2 linked regions of the Anolis sagrei genome follow. The protein of the gene in region 1 purifies or fractionates together with the protein of each later gene. This does not show direct contact. Links are inferred from orthologs where the notes say so. Each region holds a gene or a part of one and is shown on either strand. Other genes may lie near its edges.

The links.
Region 2: the proteins of lipopolysaccharide-induced tumor necrosis factor-alpha factor-like (region 1) and NEDD4 purify together in Homo sapiens (co-immunoprecipitation; 4 studies listed by BioGRID and IntAct, counting the BioPlex papers as one, with this or other methods). This does not show direct contact. The link is inferred for Anolis sagrei from reciprocal best matches to the Homo sapiens genes LITAF and NEDD4.

What each region holds. Positions count from the first base shown.
Region 1 is NC_090034.1:20,485,357-20,495,873, reverse strand, and holds the start of lipopolysaccharide-induced tumor necrosis factor-alpha factor-like, read left to right. Parts: upstream 1-6,444; 5' UTR 6,445-6,616; exon of another isoform or gene 6,617-6,648; intron 6,649-7,835; exon of another isoform or gene 7,836-10,072; 5' UTR 10,073-10,085; coding exon 10,086-10,443; intron 10,444-10,517.
Region 2 is NC_090029.1:1,439,293-1,449,014, forward strand, and holds the start of NEDD4 (E3 ubiquitin-protein ligase NEDD4), read left to right. Parts: upstream 1-5,759; 5' UTR 5,760-5,828; coding exon 5,829-7,022; intron 7,023-9,722. UniProt on the Homo sapiens protein: E3 ubiquitin-protein ligase which accepts ubiquitin from an E2 ubiquitin-conjugating enzyme in the form of a thioester and then directly transfers the ubiquitin to targeted substrates. Specifically ubiquitinates 'Lys-63' in target proteins.

The DNA.
Region 1 (10,517 bases):
TTCCTTCTTTTCCAGCCTTAGGTGAAGTACATCATGGGGTGTTCAATCCCCTTTGGGACCGGCTATTAAAGGCCATCTTCTTTCAAAGTCTGAATAACCCCTTCTGGAAAGGAGAAAGAGCCATTTCCGCCAACATCAAGGTGAGGCTAGGTGCTCAACCTGTTGGATGAGAGCTTCTGGCAGGAAACGTATGGGATCAAGGTGTGAATTGCAACACGCCTTAGCTGCCGAGTCACGCATTTCACTCCAAGTTCCTTGAGTTTATCTGAAACGTGGCTTGTGGCCGTGCATTATTACATGTTGCGTTATGAGATGTTCCGCTTTGCCCGCTTCCCTGATTCTAGTCTTGTTATTATTTGCTTTTTAAACTACTCCATTGCAATGTCCCCAGGTGTGTACCCTTTGGCAGCAGTCGCTTGTGCCTTTTCAGGAACCAAATCTTGGTGCATCACTTGACACCACATTCCAGCCAAAGTATCCAAATATGTTGTTGTTGTTGCTGCATGCCTTAAATTCATTCCTAAGTTAAGCAGTTTTCTTGGTCAGATTGGTCCAGAGGTTTGCTGCTGCCTTCCTGAGGCTGAGAGTGTGTGACTCACCCAAAAGGGATCCATTGCTAAGCCGGGATTCAAATGCAGGCCTCCCCAGACTCTTAGCTCAAACTACTTCTTCTTCTTCTTCTTCTTCTTCTTCTTCTTCTTCTTCCTCTTCCTCTTCCTCTTCCTCTTCTTCTCCTTCTTCTCCTCAAGATTTCTTCAGGTGGGTTTTGTCATTGGTTCCTTTTGAGGCTGAGAGAGTGTGACTCACCCAATAGGGTTCCATTGCTTTGCCAGGATTCAAATGCAGGTCTCCTAGACTCATAGCTAAACTATTGTTGTTGTTGTTGTTCTCAAGATTTCTTCAGGTGGGTTTTGCCATTGCCTCCTTTTGAGGCTGAGGGAGTGTGACTCACCCAATAGGGTTCCATTGCTAAACCGGGATTAAAATGCAGGCCTCCCATTGACTCTTAGTTTAATGCTCAAAATTGTATTGTTGTTGTTGTCCTCGTTGTTGTCTTCATCTTGCTTTTTATCACAATTAAGTTGCCAAACTCCCGCTCCTGGCTCTCAAGATTGCTTTCCTCTGAGGTCGAAATACTTGGAAAGTTACTTCTCGAATTCAGGAACAGAAATTATCCTTAAGGCATTTTGCAAAAGCAAATTTAGTTCAGAGGCAGAATTCTCCCAACTCATGTTGAGTTAATTGTTTTTCCAGGAGAAGGAGTTTAAAACTCAGAAAAAGCAACTCGGGGTTTTGTTATTCAGGTCCCTTGAGGAATTCTAATGCAGAAGGAAGCCACTTTCTCAAGGGCCACTGTTTCCTTGGAACATTAAGTATTATTTGTTTAAGCACATTTGATCTCTAATGATGACAGACATCAAGCTGTAGGTTAATTGGTTAAGCAATATGCTGATGATGGACCGACTCAAGGGTGCTGATGATAGATCTCACAGTGGGACTTTCCTTGGTGTAGACATTTGCTCCTATGGATGTAGGAGAGTTATCACATTGGCTTTTTTAGCTGCCACATCACACTGTAGACTCCTGTTCAGCTCGTGGTCCACTAATACTTCTAGATCAGTTTCATATATATATATATATATATATATATATATATATATATGAGAGAATATATTTACCAAACACACGTGTGTGTATGTGTGTATTCAAGCCATACCCAATATTACTGCAACTAGATTCCTATTGTTACAATCTAGAATTGTAATGGCCTTTTTAGCTGCCGCATCACACTGTCTTGTTCAGCTTGTGGTCTACTAAGGCTCCTAGATTCTTTTCATATATATGCATACATACACACACACACATATAATTATTGTCAAGCCATAGCCAATATTACTTCTATTAATCTAGACACTACGCTCCAATTGATACAGCCTAGAATCGCATTGGTCTTTTTCCATGCTGCATCACACTTTTGACTCACCCCCCATCTAGTGGTCCACTAAGACTCCTAGATCTCTTTCATGCCTGCCTGCCTATCTATCTTATCCATTAATCCATCCATCCATTATAAAGCCACAATCCATATTACTTCCCTCAATATAGACACTAGACTCCTAGAATTGCATTGGCCTTTTTTTTTGCTGCCGCATCACACTGTTGGCTCTTCCTCAGTTTGTGCCCTCATAAAACTCCTAGATTCCTTACACATGTTTTGAAGCCAGGCACTCCACATCTTATATCTGTGCATTTTGTTTATTTCCACCTTGCATTTCTCCCTGTTGAAATCCATTCCCTTATTTAGAGCCAATTAGCTCTCTAATCTGTTACAAGGATCACTGTGGATCCTGATCCAAACCATATGGGTTATCCCTCCCCCATTGCGTCCTATCTGCACGTGGGAGCGACGCGCCTTCTCTCCCATTGTCCGAGTCACAGATAAAGATGTGGAACATGTCAAATGAGGTCCGGGCGGAAAGGCAACAGGTGTGACTGAGTTTTAATACAAACCTCCTAGTAATAAACAGGGCATTCAGCATTTCACACCTGTAATAAACTGGCGATCCCACCCACCTGCCGGATCAGGGCCAGATTTAGGGCGTGTTGGGGAAAAAAGTTTTATATAGAGTTTGCCTTGGATGCTTCGAGAGACGGAAGCAGAGAGGGAGCAGTTTGTTGCTTTGTGGAGGGCTCAAAGGCAAGGCTATCATTGCAAGGTTATCTGGGGCTGAGACCGTGCACCCTGCCCAAGGGCACTCATTAGGCTTCATGGCCAAAAGGGAGGATTCAAACCCTGGACTCCAGAGCTTTAATCTAACATTCAAAACACTGCGGCACCTTTGCTGGCAGGAAGTTGAAGGGGTGCTGCTTTTCATGAACAACTTGGTATAAGCAAGCAATTTGAGCACTGGAGGACTATTTTCTGAGATCTGGGTTCGCATCCTCACATAGAAACCCACTGGGCCCAAGCCATACTCTCTCAGCCTCAGAGGAAGGCAAAGGGCAAACCTCCTTTGTATAAATCTTGCCAAGAAAAACCAGTGACATGTTTGCTGTAGGGACACTGTAAGTTGGAGACATATACACTTATCAGCAAACTGGAAGGGTCCAAAAGTCCTTTTATCATACGATAAAATGGGTATTGATTATAAGATGCAATCTAGCCTTGTATGCATTTCTTTGTGTTCTGGGGGAGTCCGGAGAGAGGGCTGCGTAGATTTCTATCCAAGAAGGTTGCCAAGATTTTATTATGATGCTGAGAAGGTGCAACTTGCCCAAATTCAAGGCATTCGTTTTTTGGAAATCCTAATAGAAAGAATGCTGGAGGCTGAGAGAGTGTAACCTGTGGAGTTTCAATAGCCAAGTGAGGATTTGAACTTGTGTCTCCTAGAGGCCTAATTCACACAAACCACTGAGCCATTCCAGCTCTCCAAAATAATAGGGGCTGGACCACTCTCACAACCACCATGTCAGACTACACAGAGAAGCCATTGAAATCCACAAACATGTGGACAATTTCAACAGAAAGGAAGAAACCATGAAAATGAACACACTACCAGTATTAAAAAATTCTAAAATTGCAACAGCAAAAACAGCAGAGAGAAAAACAGGCAGGGACATCTAATCACCTTTCAAGAAGAGTTTTGCTCCAGGCACAGTCAGCCCATTGTATGCTAATCAAGGTGGTCAGCTGAAAGATTCACACCCAGCCCAACTTACAAAAGCCCTTTGTCTCACCCTGGTCATTCCACAGATATATAAACCCCCTTTTTCCCAGTCCCAGCAGACCTCACCTCTGAGGATGCTTGCCATAGATGCAGGCGAAACGTCAGGAGAAATGCCTCTAGAACATGGCCATATAGCCCGAAAAAACCCACAAGAACTGAGGATAATAGGGGTTCCTTATCTGGATCAATTCAGAAAGGGGTCTCCCTCTGAGGCTGAGAGGGTGTGGCTGTCCCCATGCCACCCAAAGGATTTCCATGGTTGAGCAGGGATTCGAACCCTGTTATTTCAAATTCCTGATATTATTGGCCTTTGACAAAGTGTTATAATGAATGCATTGAGTACGGAAACTGAATTGGACCAGAACTTGGAAGGTAAGCAATTTATTTCTCAGACAAAACAGGCCCAGCTTAACTACAAGGAGAATGTAACCATTGCCACTGCATTTTCAGTCTTGGCCTGCTTTGAATGCAATCAGGAAAAGCACTGCATTCTGTATCATTGCAAGCACTGCTTCATATGCAGTCAGAAGAAACGCTGCATTATGTAACATTGCAAGCATTGTTTTTTAGGCAGTCAGAAGAAGCACTGCATTATGTATCATTGCAACCACTGCTTTGGATGCAGTCAGGAGAGCCTGGTATTCTGTATCCTTACAACCACTGCTTTGATTGCAGTCAGGAGAAGCCACTGCAAACATGCATCCTTGCAATGATGTATCCTTACAACCATTGTTTTGGATGCAGTCAGGCGAAGCCAATGCATTAATGCAGCGGTTCTCAACCTGGGGGTCGCGACTCCCCAGGGGGTCGTTTGGCCATTTCGGAGGGGTCGCGAGGCCGCCTCCTTCGGCCCCGCCCACAAGGCTGCGAGTCCTCCCTGGGCTCCTTGGCGTCCTCGCCAAATGGCGAGGCCGCGAGGCGGCCGGGGGCTCCTTTGCACGAGCCCTCCCTGGGCTCCCCAGCGGGCTCGCCAAATGGCGAGGCCGCCAAGGAGCCCAGGGAGGGCTTGTGCAGAGGCTGCCTCGGCTCCCTCGCAGCTTCGCCAAATGGCGAGGCCGCGAGGCAGCCGGGGGCTCCTTTGCACGAGCCCTCTCTGGGCTCCTTGGCGCCCGTGGGGGAGTCCAGGGAGGGCTTGTGTGGAGGCTGCCTCAGCTCCCTCGCGGCTTCACCAAATGGCGAGGCCGCGAGGCAGCCGGGGGCTCCTTCACACGAGCCCTCCCTTGATTGTGGGCTGGATTCAGAGTGTACTTTGATTGTAGGTGAACTATAAATCCCAGCAAATGCAACTTCCAAATGTCAAGTCAATGTTCCCCAAACTCCACCAGTGTTCACATTTGGGCATATTGAGTATTCGTGTCAAGTTTGGTCCAGATCCATCATTGTTTGAGTCCACAGTGCTTTTGGAGGTAGGTGAACTACAATTCCAAAACTCAAGGTCCATGCCTGCCAAATCTTTCCAGTATTTTCTGTTGGTCATGGGAGTTCTGTGTGCCACATTTGGTTCGATTTCATCGTTGATGGAGTTCAGAATGCTCTTTGATTGTAGGTGAACTATAAATCCTAGCAACTACAACTCCCAAGTGTCAAGGTCTAATTTCCCCAAAATCTACCAGTGTTCACATTTGGGCAGATTGAGTATTCTTGCCAGGTTTGGTCCAGATCCATCATTGTTTGAGTCCACAGTGCTACAGCTCCAAAACTCAAGGTCAATGTCCACCAAACCCTTCCAGTATTTTCTGTTGGTCAAGGGATATCTGTGTGCCAAGTTTGTTTCAATTACATCGTTGGTGGAGTTCAGAATGCTCTTTGATTGTAGGTTAACGATAAATCCCAACAACGATACTGCTGAGTTGCTGAGCTTGTTGATCAAAAGAGCGCAGGTTCAAATCCAGGAAGTGGCATTAGCTTCCGCTGTCAGCCCCAGCTTCTGCCAACTTAGCAGTTCAAAAACATGCAAATGTGAGTAGATCAATAGGTACTGCTCTGGTGGGAAGGTAACGATGCTCCCTGCAGTTATGCTGGCTACATGACCTTGGAGGTCTCTACGGACAACGCTGGCTCTTTGGCTTAGAAATGGAGATGAGCACCACACCCAAGTCAGACATGACTGGACATAATGTCAGGGGAAAACCTTTACCTACAACACCAAATGACAAAACCAACTCCCCCCCCCCAACCCCACCAGTATTCAAATTTGGGTGTATCAGGTAATTGTGCCAAATTTGGTTGGGGGGTCACCACAACATGAGGAACTGCATTAAGGGGTCACGGCATTAGGAAGGTTGAGAACCACTGCATTAATGTATCCTTGCAACCATTGTTTCGGATACAGTCAGGAGAAGCCACTGCAAACGTGCATCCTTGCAACGATGTACCCTTACAACCATTGTTTCGGATACAATCAGGTGAAGCCACTGCAATCATATATCATTGCAACCATTGCTTCGGATCACTGCAAACATTGCCAAAGTCCTGGCCTGCTTCAGATGCAGTCAAAGCCATAGAAAACACAATTTAGCTGGCCTTGGATCAGTGCCGCAAAACTCTCCAAAACAAAGGTGCTCCTGTTGAGAGGTGCTATCTTGAATGGACACCCAACCAAATGAGCCCTGTCTCATCCAACCCGTTCCCCGGCATTCCTCTTTGGGATGTTTGCGTTTGGAAAGAGGATGGAGTGCTTGGCTAACCGGAGGGTAATTACACAGCTGCTCCATTTCTCCTCCCTTCCGGCCAAACTCCTATCTCTTCCTGCCCCTTTGAGATGGGATAAACCCTCACTCCGGACCTGGGCTCCAAGTCAGCAAGATCTTAGGAATAGATCATGACCCTTCCTTGGACATCAGAGGAGCCAAGAGGCCGATGAAGTGAACAGAGACTCCGGGAAAGAGGTACCAGTTCTATCTGATCCTGGTCCACACAGGTAGGGAAATCATTTCTTCCTAATGTTCAGATGGAATCCCTTTTTCTGCAATTTGAATCCAATACTCTGTTGTGTCCCAGTCTCTGGAGCAGCAGAAAACAAGCCTTGCCCCTTCCTCAACAGGGCATCCTTCCAAATATTTCAACATGACTCTCATATTCTTCTATCCGCCTTCTCCAAGCTAAACATCCTCAGCAATTTAAGCTGTTCCTCATAAGCCTTGGCCATTTTGGTCCTCCTTCCCGCTTGTCCATCTCTTTCTTGAATTGCTTTGCTCAGAACTGGATACAGGGTTATTATTCCAGGTGAGATCCAACCAAGGCAGAAAAGAGTGGGACTCTACACCGCCATTGATGCAGTTTAGGATCACATTGGCCTTGTTAGCATACATCACAAACATAACTATTATCAAGACATAGCCAAGATTACTTCTATCAATTTAGACACTAGACTCCTATTGTTGCAGCCTAGGATCGTATTGGCCTATTTTGCTGCTGCATCACACTGTAGTCTCTCATTCAGTTTCCAGTCTGCTAAGACTCTAGATCATTTTCTCAGACTTAGATATAGTCAATCCATGGTCAATATAACTTCCCTCTGTTTAAACGCTAGACTCCTATTGAAGTAGTCTAGGATCACATTGGCCTTGTTAGCTGCCACATCACACTCTTGTATTATTATTATTATTATTATTATTATCATTATTATTACTACTACTACTACTACTACTACTATTATTAGATACACAAAAAGACTAGTACACAGCAAACAAGATCACTATGCTGGCTTTTGTATTGGATCACACGTCGGACACCACAAGTTTCTAGGACTGTGTGATGTATTGGTTAATAATGCGTGCAGATCCAAGAAGGGGGCCTTTTGCAGCTGACAGGTGGTGGTATTATTATTATTACTATTACTCCTCAATCCCTTTAACTCCTCTATCTGTACACTTCATTGTTATTGCCTACTGAAATTCCGTTTTGTTAGTTCTGGACAATCAGCTCTCTAATCTGTTGAGGTCATTTTGGATCCTGGTCCCATCCTCTAGGTCAGGGGTCCACAAACTTTTTAAACAGAGGGCCAGGTCACAGTCTCTTAAACTGTTGGAGGGCCAGATTATAATTTGAAAAAAAACATGAATGAATTCCTATGCCCACTGCACATGTTATTTGTAGTGCAAAAAAAACCCCCACTTAAAAACAATACAATAATCAAAATGAAGAACTATGTTAACAAATATAAACTTATTAGTATTTCAATGGGAAGTGTGGGCCTGTTTTTGGCTGATCAGATAGGATTGTTGTTATTGTTGTGTGCTTTTAAGTCATTTCAGACTTAGGTTGACCCTGAGCGAGGGCTGGGTGAATGACCTTGGAGGGCCGTATCCGGCCCCTGGGCCTTAGTTTGAGGACCCCTGCTCTAGGTATTTGCTGTCCCTCCCAAATTTGGATCAGCCTGCCTTCTAGTCTGTCATCCAAGCCACTGATAAAGCTTCTGAATAGCCCTTAAAGGCCCAAGACAAGACCCCAAAAGTCACTTCTCTCCAGGAAGAAGGGGGAAGCCATTGGATAGAAATAGCGGGTGAACTAGTTCCCAATCCACCTAACAGTAGCTTTGCTTGTTGCATCATCCCAACTTTCATGCATTTTCCAAGCTTAAAACTATTCCGAAACAGATAAAAAAAGACAGAGGACCAAACAGACATTATGGGATCGGATGGAGAAACTAGCTTCCAGTTGTTTTTGAGCATATGGATGGGTTGGACTATAACTCCCAGAACCCCATTTTGGCCATACTGGATGGGGGATTCTGGGATTTGTAGTCACCCTGTTCCGAATCCAATTTGTAGGTCCAAAACTAGAACCAACCCATCTGGTCAATAGGAAGTAATTAATTTAATTTCTGGATCCATGATATTAAGGACTCAGGCATTGGAGTCATGTAGCCCATCTTCCCAAGGCAGGCATGGCTGTGGATGATGGGACTTTGTATCCCCCAAAACAAGGAGACTCGAAGTGAAACCAAATGGGAAACACATCACTTGGAAGCTGTCCTTTGGCTGCCAAATAGCTGTCATTGTGGGGCAAATGCTCTCTAGCAAGGGAATGGCACATGAATAAACCGCATCATTTAGAAAAAATGTGGACGTTTATAGCGGCCCAAGGAGTGGTCAATTGCCACCTACCTCCACATTCTTTCATCAGGAATGCATGAATGGGGCCAATTTGCATGGGTTGGAGCACCAAGTGGAGGCAAATCAGGCTGGATGAGCAAGCCTTTAGAAAGGCTGCTCAGAATCGAGGCCCGTAATTAGAGGAAGGTATTTCTCTCATTAAAGGCTGATATCACCAACACGTGGGGGCCATGACATCACACCTTTAACCACACTTGCACATTGAGGCCTTGTTTGTCTCCTTTGGGGAGCCATTGCAAAACAAAGGCAAAATACGGAGCTTAGGAAAAGCATGTACAGAGGCTGTCAGGGTTGTTTTTGTGTCTCTGACTTGGTCCAAGGTACAAGTGGATTCATGGTGTGTATAGGTGGGATACAAATTAATATCGTCATCATGCAGTGAAACCAATGTGATTAAGGCAGTATAATATCTTACTATTTTCTTAATTTATAGAAAGCTAGTTGGTCTCACCTTGTAGACTCAGTTGATGCTGAAAAGGAGGAGGGTGGGATATACAATTCTATATTTATATTCATTGTATATCGACTTTTAAGTTTCTCAAGTCAGGAGCAACCTGAGAAACTGCAAGTCGATATACAATGAATAAAGTAATATCTTTTACTGCCCTATTAGCATTGTTTTTATTACTGAGTTGTTTTATGCATTTCTCCCAATCACAGGACTCAAAAGTGGCTAACCATCCTACAAACTGGAACCAATGCAAAACCAGAATATATATATTTCTTCCTCCCCTTTTTTCTTCTTCTTCCTCCTGTTCTCCTCTTTCCTCCTTTTCCTTATTGCAGTCTACCATTAGTTGTGGACTGTCAGTTATTTGGATTTTGTCCAAAACAATGAGAATCGGTAGACAATGTGGTATGTGTTCCAAGCTGCCTCCTGTTTTGCAATTGCTATGTTTTGACTTGGGATTCAACCAGGCAGATTTGTTCAAAGGGCTTTTGCTTTTGCCTCCCTTGGAGGCTGAGAGAGTGCAACTTGCGCAAAGCTGCTCTTCCATGGTTAAGCAGGGATTCGAACCCGGGAGTCTTCAAAACTCAAACCACTATACTGCTCTGCTTCATCTTGTTCTCTATTTCTTTTAGGACTGCTGTTTGGTTGCAATCTGCAGGTTGTGATGCCAAAGGGGGCAAAGGAATAGAGGGACTATTGTTTCTCCCACTCTGTTTCCATGCAGCCAAAAAGCTTCCTCATGGCTCCTTCACCTCTTCTGCTGTTTTGCCTTGCAGGCCGACTCTCAAGATGGAGCAGAAGACGGTGAAGCATGTAACCATCCCAATGACTGACATTGCCCCCCGTCCGGAGCCATATGTGCCGGAATATTCCCAGCCCTACGAACCCAAGCCCTACACCCCCCAGACCTACGAACCCAAGCCCTACACCTCCCAGCCCTACGAACCTAAGTCCTACGCCCCCCAGCCCTACGAACCCAAGCCCTACACCTCCCAGCCCTACGAACCCAAGTCCTACACCCCCCAGCCCTACGAATCCCAGCCCTGCGCCCCCCAGCCTTATGAATCTCAGCCCTATGCCCCGGAGAAATATACACCAGACTCATATTTGCCCCAGTCTTCTTCAGGAGATGCATACAGCATAACAAGTACGTCTCTAAATGGGGAAAATTGGGGGGCAAATGTCTAAGCCTGGGTCAATTAGGGTACACCTAGACTGTAG
Region 2 (9,722 bases), on another chromosome or scaffold:
AAGGGGTTTATATATCTGTGGAATAATGACCAGGGTGGGACAAAGGACTCTTGTCTGCTGGAGCTAGGTGTGAATGTTTCAACTGACCTCCTTGATTAGCATTTGATGGCCTGGCAGTGCCTGGAGCAATCTTTTGTTGAGCGGTAGAAGTCAGGTACTTTGCAAAACGACACTGGCATTGTCTTGCTGGGCAAAAATATATTGTGTGTATCTTCCTTTTGGGAACAGAGCAAAATGAGGCTGAGCAAAGGCCCGCTTTCTGTCTTGTGTTTTCAGGAATGGATGGTGCTGTTAAATACTGTTTTCCAAAGTGGTTCCAGTCCCCTTGAGAGGGTGTGAAATGCTGGTTTGGATGCAAACGGACCAAAAATGTCCCGAAGGTTAAACAAATACCAGGCTGGGAATAGGCAGGCATGCGATTGGCCCAAAGCATGAAGGGTGCAGTGTTCTCGCCTAGATCCGTGCTTCTGAGGCTGGATTCAGAAATGGGCAGGACTGTTTGCTTGTGGGGAAGGAAGGGCCCCGGCCAGAGCACAACATAGAGCCTTGTTGCCATTTCCAAGGGGGCCATAAACGCCGGGCGAGCAAAGAGAGGAGTGGCTGGAAGATGGCAGCAGCCCTGAAATGCAGCCAAGCGGTCCTCTGGCACTTGCTCTGGGCTGGTTCGTCATATCAGCTTTGCAGGGCAAATGGACTCTGAGCAAAGCGGAAAGGCTTGGTCTTGCGAGTGCTGTCAGTGGGGAATGGCGCATTGCTTTGGGCCCAGGGTGTAATGTTTGCCCCCCAAGCAGCACGCTTTCTCTACCAGCGTCTGGAAGCATTCTTTTGCCCTTGACGTGGAAAGGATCTGTCAACATGCTCAGGTGCTTCATTCATAGAATCCTAGAATCCTAGACTTGGAAGAGACTGTTGCAACCCAGAGCAGGAAACGAGGCCCTCAGATAACTCTCCACCACACTTGGCTGTGAAAAACAATCCTTTTTTATTGAAGAAAAATGGTTACAAAATAAAGGAAAAATGCAAGTCAAAAGCCACAGCAAAATCAGCAAACATGAATTTAAATGGACAAAGCAAAACCAAAAGCCTCACTAGGAACTGCTGGAATCTGTTAGCAATCCACTAACCGTACTTGATATCCTAGAAATCTTTCCATACTATGACCAGGGAACCGGGAGAACTGCCAAGGTCTTCATCAATTCTGAAACGATGCCTGAACTGAGGCAATCAGCCTGGCGTATTGCAATTAAAACTCAAGAATCGGTTCCGTGAACCGCCCTTCTGTTTTGAAGCTAATGTTTTTAATTCTTGAATTCGGGAGGATCGGCGCAAACTGAGTGATTTACTTCTGTCTTCCCAAATTTGGTTCCTCCTGTTGTCATTACAGTTAACAGGTGCAGAAGGGAGGGAAAGTTCAAGGTCTCCCTCTGAAACATTCTCATGAACACTGGGACTTTCATTTCCCAAATCTACAGAAGTCCCTTCCTCACTAATTTCAGGAACATTGGCATTTTCCAAACCTACAGCAGATTCTTCCTCACTAATTTCAGGAGCATTGGCATCAAAAGGTACATTTCCATTAGCATCAGTAAATATATTTTCATTAGCAACAGGAGGAACAGAGAATCAGGTTCAAGTTCAAACTCAGGCTGAACCCCAACAGAGACCTCCTTGGGCCATCCAGTCCAACCCCATTCTGCCAAGAAGCAGTAATATTGCATTCAAATCACCCCTGACAGATGGCCATCCAGACTCCGTTTAAAAGCTTCCAAAGAGGGAGCCTCCACCACACTCCGGGGCAGAGAGTTCCACTGCTGAACGGCTCTCACAGTCAGGAAGTTCTTCCTCATATTCAGATGGAATCTCCTTTCTTGTAGTTTGAGGTGAAAAGCAACACATGCTGAGGTGCTGTCAGAAGTGACCCAGAGATTGAATCTGTCCAAAATGTGGTCATGACATGACATTCTGGCTTTTATTTTCGGGGTCTCCCTTGCTTGCAATCCGTTGCATTTGCCCTCCTCCCTGCAAAAAAAACCAAAACAAACCCGCAGCGTTTTCCCTCTTTAAATTGAACACAGTAAGTGCTTTCATAACGCTCTCCTGACCGACCGAGAGGGTCCTCGCTCTTTCGTTTGCGCAGCCTTACCCGATTAATCTTTCAAAATTGAGCCTTGGATCTGATAATGAGGTGGGACTCCATTCCTCCTGACTTCCTGTAACTCTAAACCGCTGGGTAAAAATATGAGCGGCCGTTCGTTCCTCTGTTCGTTTGCTCGGAGCTAAAGAAAGCTCAGCCTGCGTTCGGCTGGAGGAGTCTCTCCGAAGAAGAGCGGGCCTGGAGTTAATTCGCTGGAGTGAGTCGGCAAAGGATTGAGTGCAGACGAGAGGGCTTTCAAGGGTGCCTTCCAGGGAAGAAGCCCGCTCTCAAGGGTGCCTTCCGGGGAAGAAGCCCGCTCTCAAGGGTGCCTTCCGGGAAAGAAGCCCGCTCTCTTTGGGTGCCTTCCGGGGAAGAAACCCGCTCTTCTCTCAAGGGTGCCTTCCGGGAAAGAAGCCCGCTCTCAAAGGTGCCTTCCGGGGAAGAAGCCCGCTCTCAAGGGTGCCTTCCGGAGAAGAAGTCCGTTCTCAAAGGTGCCCTCCGGAGAAGAAGCCCGCTCTCAAGGGTGCCCTCCGGAGAAGAAGCCCGCTCTCAAGGGTGCCCTCCGGGAAAGAAGCCCGCTCTCAAAGGTGCCCTCCGGGAAAGAAGCCCGCTCTCAAGGGTGCCCTCCGGAGAAGAAGCCCGCTCTCAAGGGTGCCCTCCGGGAAAGAAGCCCGCTCTCAAAGGTGCCCTCCGGGAAAGAAGCCCGCTCTCGAGGGTGCCCTCCGGAGAAGAAGCCCGCTCTCAAGGGTGCCTTCCGGGAAAGAAGTCCGTTCTCAAGGGTGCCTTCCGGGAAAGAAGCCCGCTCTCAAAGGTGCCTTCCGGGGAAGAAGCCCGCTCTCAAAGGTGCCTTCCGGGGAAGAAGTCCGCTCTCAAGAGAGCCTTCCGGGAAAGAAGCCCGCTCTTCTCTCAAGGGAGCCTTCCGGGGAAGAAGCCCGCTTTCAAGGGTGCCCTCCGGAGAAGAAGCCCGCTCTCAAGGGTGCCCTCCGGAGAAGAAGCCCGCTCTCAAGGGTGCCCTCCGGGAAAGAAGCCCGCTCTCAAAGGTGCCCTCCGGGAAAGAAGCCCGCTCTCGAGGGTGCCCTCCGGAGAAGAAGCCCGCTCTCAAGGGTGCCTTCCGGGAAAGAAGTCCGTTCTCAAGGGTGCCTTCCGGGAAAGAAGCCCGCTCTCAAAGGTGCCTTCCGGGGAAGAAGCCCGCTCTCAAAGGTGCCTTCCGGGGAAGAAGTCCGCTCTCAAGAGAGCCTTCCGGGAAAGAAGCCCGCTCTTCTCTCAAGGGAGCCTTCCGGGGAAGAAGCCCGCTTTCAAGGGTGCCCTCCGGAGAAGAAGCCCGCTCTCAAGGGTGCCCTCCGGAGAAGAAGCCCGCTCTCAAGGGTGCCCTCCGGGAAAGAAGCCCGCTCTCAAAGGTGCCCTCCGGGAAAGAAGCCCGCTCTCGAGGGTGCCCTCCGGAGAAGAAGCCCGCTCTCAAGGGTGCCTTCCGGGAAAGAAGTCCGTTCTCAAGGGTGCCTTCCGGGAAAGAAGCCCGCTCTCAAAGGTGCCTTCCGGGGAAGAAGCCCGCTCTCAAAGGTGCCTTCCGGGGAAGAAGTCCGCTCTCAAGAGAGCCTTCCGGGAAAGAAGCCCGCTCTTCTCTCAAGGGAGCCTTCCGGGGAAGAAGCCCGCTTTCAAGGGTGCCCTCCGGAGAAGAAGCCCGCTCTCAAGGGTGCCCTCCGGAGAAGAAGCCCGCTCTCAAGGGTGCCCTCCGGGAAAGAAGCCCGCTCTCAAAGGTGCCCTCCGGGAAAGAAGCCCGCTCTCGAGGGTGCCCTCCGGAGAAGAAGCCCGCTCTCAAGGGTGCCTTCCGGGAAAGAAGTCCGTTCTCAAGGGTGCCTTCCGGGAAAGAAGCCCGCTCTCAAAGGTGCCTTCCGGGGAAGAAGCCCGCTCTCAAAGGTGCCTTCCGGGGAAGAAGTCCGCTCTCAAGAGAGCCTTCCGGGAAAGAAGCCCGCTCTTCTCTCAAGGGAGCCTTCCGGGGAAGAAGCCCGCTTTCAAGGGTGCCCTCCGGAGAAGAAGCCCGCTCTCAAGGGTGCCCTCCGGGAAAGAAGCCCGCTCTCAAAGGTGCCCTCCGGGAAAGAAGCCCGCTCTCAAGGGTGCCCTCCGGAGAAGAAGCCCGCTCTCAAGGGTGCCCTCCGGGAAAGAAGCCCGCTCTCAAAGGTGCCCTCCGGGAAAGAAGCCCGCTCTCAAGGGTGCCCTCCGGAGAAGAAGCCCGCTCTCAAGGGTGCCTTCCGGGAAAGAAGTCCGTTCTCAAGGGTGCCTTCCGGGAAAGAAGCCCGCTCTCAAAGGTGCCTTCCGGGGAAGAAGCCCGCTCTCAAAGGTGCCTTCCGGGGAAGAAGTCCGCTCTCAAGAGAGCCTTCCGGGAAAGAAGCCCGCTCTTCTCTCAAGGGAGCCTTCCGGGGAAGAAGCCCGCTTTCAAGGGTGCCCTCCGGGGAAGAAGCCCGCTCTCAAGGGAGCCTTCCGGGGAAGAAGCCCGCTCTCAAGGGTGCCTTCCAGGAAAGAAGCCCACTCTCAAGGGTGCCTTCCGGGAAAGAAGCCCGCTCTCAGGGGTGCCTTCCGGGGAAGAAGTCCGCTCTCAAGAGAGCCTTCCGGGAAAGCAGCCCGCTCTTCTCTCAAGGGTGCCTTCCGGGGAAGAAGCCCTCTCTCAAGGGTGCCCTCCGGGGAAGAAGCCCGCTCTCAAAGGTGCCTTCCGGGGAAGAAGTCCGCTCTCAAGAGAGCCTTCCGGGAAAGAAGCCCGCTCTTCTCTCAAGGGAGCCTTCCGGGGAAGAAGCCCGCTTTCAAGGGTGCCCTCCGGAGAAGAAGCCCGCTCTCAAGGGTGCCCTCCGGGAAAGAAGCCCGCTCTCAAAGGTGCCCTCCGGGAAAGAAGCCCGCTCTCAAGGGTGCCCTCCGGAGAAGAAGCCCGCTCTCAAGGGTGCCCTCCGGGAAAGAAGCCCGCTCTCAAAGGTGCCCTCCGGGAAAGAAGCCCGCTCTCAAGGGTGCCCTCCGGAGAAGAAGCCCGCTCTCAAGGGTGCCTTCCGGGAAAGAAGTCCGTTCTCAAGGGTGCCTTCCGGGAAAGAAGCCCGCTCTCAAAGGTGCCTTCCGGGGAAGAAGCCCGCTCTCAAAGGTGCCTTCCGGGGAAGAAGTCCGCTCTCAAGAGAGCCTTCCGGGAAAGAAGCCCGCTCTTCTCTCAAGGGAGCCTTCCGGGGAAGAAGCCCGCTTTCAAGGGTGCCCTCCGGGGAAGAAGCCCGCTCTCAAGGGAGCCTTCCGGGGAAGAAGCCCGCTCTCAAGACTGCCTTCCGGGGAAGAAGCCCGCTCTCAAGGGTGCCTTCCAGGAAAGAAGCCCACTCTCAAGGGTGCCTTCCGGGAAAGAAGCCCGCTCTCAGGGGTGCCTTCCGGGGAAGAAGTCCGCTCTCAAGAGAGCCTTCCGGGAAAGCAGCCCGCTCTTCTCTCAAGGGTGCCTTCCGGGGAAGAAGCCCTCTCTCAAGGGTGCCCTCCGGGGAAGAAGCCCGCTCTCAAAGGTGCCTTCCGGGGAAGAAGTCCGCTCTCAAGGGTGCCCTCCGCCGAAGAAGCCCACTCGGGGACCGTGGCCGGAGAAGGGCTGGGAGGTCCACCTTAACTTTGTCTGTTTCCTCAGAGTCTACCGGCGACCGTTTTCAACCTTCACTACTCACCTCTCCAAGGTTTGTGGAGATGCGGAGCCATGGCGAGGAGGCAGCTGAGACTCCACTTGGCCCCCCGAAGAAGTCTCGTTGACCCGTTCCCTGAGGCGCTCCGAGATCCTTTCGGCCAAGAGGCCAGCCGTGTGTTTGACGGGAAGCCAGACGCGGGCGGCGTTTCCGGGAAGGAGTGGAGTCGTACCCAAACCCTCCTGGGTTGCGCGGCCCCCGAGCCCCTTCCGTCCCAGAAGCCCAAGAGGAGCGCCTTGCTGAGGATCTCCTTGCAGAGCACCCAAGGTGGCAGAGAGGACTCCCCACCGGCGCCTTTTGGTGACCACTTCCCCAGGAGAGAAGGAGAGCGACCTGGGCGGCCCCTTCACCGGTCAGCAGCCGGCAGCGGTCTGATCGACGTCCCAGATGTCAATTGCGTCGAGAGAGGGGCTGCTGACAGCGCGGGGAGTGACTGCGGCTCGTGCGTGAGCACCACCAGCGATGGAGGGTCCTGCAGTGGCGGCAGCAGCAGCGTCATCAGCGAGAGTGGCAGCACCTGCGCCTTCTCCACCGGGGACGCAGCCACGTTTGCCGGCGGTCAGTCTGATCCTGGAGCGACCGCTTGGGCACCCAGAGTGGCCTTGGACAATCTCTCTGTGGGGCGGGTGTCCAAGTTGCCGTCAGCGGAAGGGCGCAGGCGTCCCTTGCAGCGGTGCTCCTCGCTGGTCATCTTCCCCCGGAGTCCGTGCAGTACCCCTCCGCTGTCCCCCTCCTCGCTGCCTCCGGAGGGAGAGGTCAAGGGGGCCTCCACGGGGTCGCTCCTCACCATCCTGAATGGCTTCCGGCTCTCCCCCAGCGCCGCCCCACCCAACGGAAGTCGGGACGTCCGACCGCTCTGCCCAAAGAGCGCTTTGTGGGGGAGGCGCTGGACCTCGCCCGAGGAAGACGCCCCAAACCAAGGGCGCTGCACCCCGCTCCACTTCTCCCCGGATCCGCCTGACCCCACTTCTCCCCGGACCTGCTCACATTTGCAGCTCCCAAACGAGGAAGATCACTCTCCTGCAATCCCTGCAAGGAGGATCCGGGGCCCCCACGGGCTCCACAGGAGCGTCTCCTTGGGGGGCCCCCCGGCACCCCGTTTGCCCGCTTTCCAGTCCCACCCTGGGGCAGGAGCCTCCCACCTGCAGATCCAGTTTGGTCCTGAAAATCAAGCGCCCTCCCACCTGGCACTGGGGACATCTCCAGAGGTGAGTTGCTGTCCCTTTCAGGTGGAACCAGGTGGACTTAGTCCAGAGCGGTGGTTCTCAACCTGTGGGTCCCCAGATGTTTGGGCCTTCAACTCCCAAAAAGCCTAACAGCTATTGTATTGTCGAAGGCTTTCATGGCTGGAATCACTAGGTTCTTGTGGGTTTTTCCGGGCTATATGGCCATGTTCTAGAGGCATTTCTCCTGACGTTTCGCCTGCATCTATGGCAAGCATCCTCAGAGGTTGTGAGGTCTGTTGGAATTAGGACAATGGGTTTATATATCTGTGGAATGACCAGGGTGGGACAAAGGACTCTTGTCTGTTGGAACTAGGTGTGAATGGGTTGTTGTAGGTTTTTTCGGGCTATAGGGCCATGTTCTAGAAGCATTTCTCCTGACGTTTCGCCTGCATCTATGGCAAGCATCCTCAGAGGTGGTGACGTCTGTTGGAATTAGGACAATGGGTTTATATATCTGTGGAATGACCAGGGTGGGACAAAGGACTCTTGTCTGTTGGAACTAGGTGTGAATGGGTTGTTGTAGGTTTTTTCGGGCTGTGTGGCCATGTTCTAGAGGCATTCTCTCCTGACGTTTCGCCTGCACATATGGCAAGCATCCTCAGAGGTGGTGAAGTCTGTTGGAATTAAGACAATGGGTTTATATATCTGTGGAATGACCAGGGTGGGACAAAGGACTCTTGTCTGTTGGAACTAGGTGTGAATGGGTTGTTGTAGGTTTTTTCGGGCTATAGGGCCATGTTCTAGAAGCATTTCTCCTGACGTTTCGCCTGCATCTATGGCAAGCATCCTCAGAGGTGGTGAGGTCTGTTGGAATTAGGACAATGGGTTTATATATCTGTGGAATGACCAGGGTGGGACAAAGGACTCTTGTCTGTTGGAACTAGGTGTGAATGGGTTGTTGTAGGTTTTTTCGGGCTCTGTGGCCATGTTCTAGAGGCATTCTCTCCTGACGTTTCGCCTGCATCTATGGCAAGCATCCTCAGAGGTGGTGAGGTCTGTTGGAATTAGGACAATGGGTTTATATATCTGTGGAATGACCAGGGTGGGACAAAGGACTCTTGTCTGTTGGAACTAGGTGTGAATGGGTTGTTGTAGGTTTTTTCGGGCTCTGTGGCCATGTTCTAGAGGCATTCTCTCCTGACGTTTCGCCTGCACATATGGCAAGCATCCTCAGAGGTGGTGAAGTCTGTTGGAATTAAGACAATGGGTTTATATATCTGTGGAATGACCAGGGTGGGACAAAGGACTCTTGTCTGTTGGAACTAGGTGTGAATGGGTTGTTGTAGGTTTTTTCGGGCTATAGGGCCATGTTCTAGAAGCATTTCTCCTGACGTTTCGCCTGCATCTATGGCAAGCATCCTCAGAGGTGGTGAGGTCTGTTGGAATTAGGACAATGGGTTTATATATCTGTGGAATGACCAGGGTGGGACAAAGGACTCTTGTCTGTTGGAACTAGGTGTGAATGGGTTGTTGTAGGTTTTTTCGGGCTCTGTGGCCATGTTCTAGAGGCATTCTCTCCTGACGTTTCGCCTGCATCTATGGCAAGCATCCTCAGAGGTAGTGAGGTCTGTTGGAATTAGGACAATGGGTTTATATATCTGTGGAATGACCAGGGTGGGACAAAGGACTCTTGTCTGTTGGAACTAGGTGTGAATGGGTTGTTGTAGGTTTTTTCGGGCTATAGGGCCATGTTCTAGAAGCATTTCTCCTGACGTTTCGCCTGCATCTATGGCAAGCATCCTCAGAGGTGGTGAGGTCTGTTGGAATTAGGACAATGGGTTTATATATCTGTGGAATGACCAGGGTGGGACAAAGGACTCTTGTCTGTTGGAACTAGGTGTGAATGGGTTGTTGTAGGTTTTTTCGGGCTCTGTGGCCATGTTCTAGAGGCATTCTCTCCTGACGTTTCGCCTGCATCTATGGCAAGCATCCTCAGAGGTAGTGAGGTCTGTTGGAATTAGGACAATGGGTTTATATATCTGTGGAATGACCAGGGTGGGACAAAGGACTCTTGTCTGTTGGAACTAGGTGTGAATGGGTTGTTGTAGGTTTTTTCAGGCTCTGTGGCCATGTTCTAGAAGCATTTCTCCTGACGTTTCGCCTGCATCTATGGCAAGCATCCTCAGAGGTAGTGAGGTCTGGGGATGCTTGCCATAGATGCAGGCGAAACGTCAGAAGAAATGCCTCTGGAACATGGCCATAAAAGGGTAAATGTAAAGGTAAAGGTAGTCCCCTGATATTAAGTCCAGTCATGTCTGACTCTGGGGTGTGGTGCTCATCTCCATTTCTAAGCCAAAGAGCCAGCGTTGTCTGTAGACACCTCCAAGGTCATGTGGCTGGCATGACTGCATGAAGCGCCGTTACCTTCCCGCCGGAGCGGTACCTATTGATCTACTCACATTTGCATGTTTTCGAACTGCTAGGTTGGCAGAAGCCATATAGCCATATAGCCCGAAAAAACCCACAAGAACTGACTAACAGCTATTTATTTGTCGTGTCAGGACAACCACTCAAATTATATTACATTTCTAACAGAACAAAGCAAACAAACAGACAAAATACAAAATTTGTGGGTTTGGTAGTGGATTAAATGTCCTTTGACCAGTCTCTGGGCCCTTGGAGTGCCTCTGGTGTTGCCGCAATGAGGTCCTCCCTTGTGCATCATGTGGCTGGGCTCAGGGT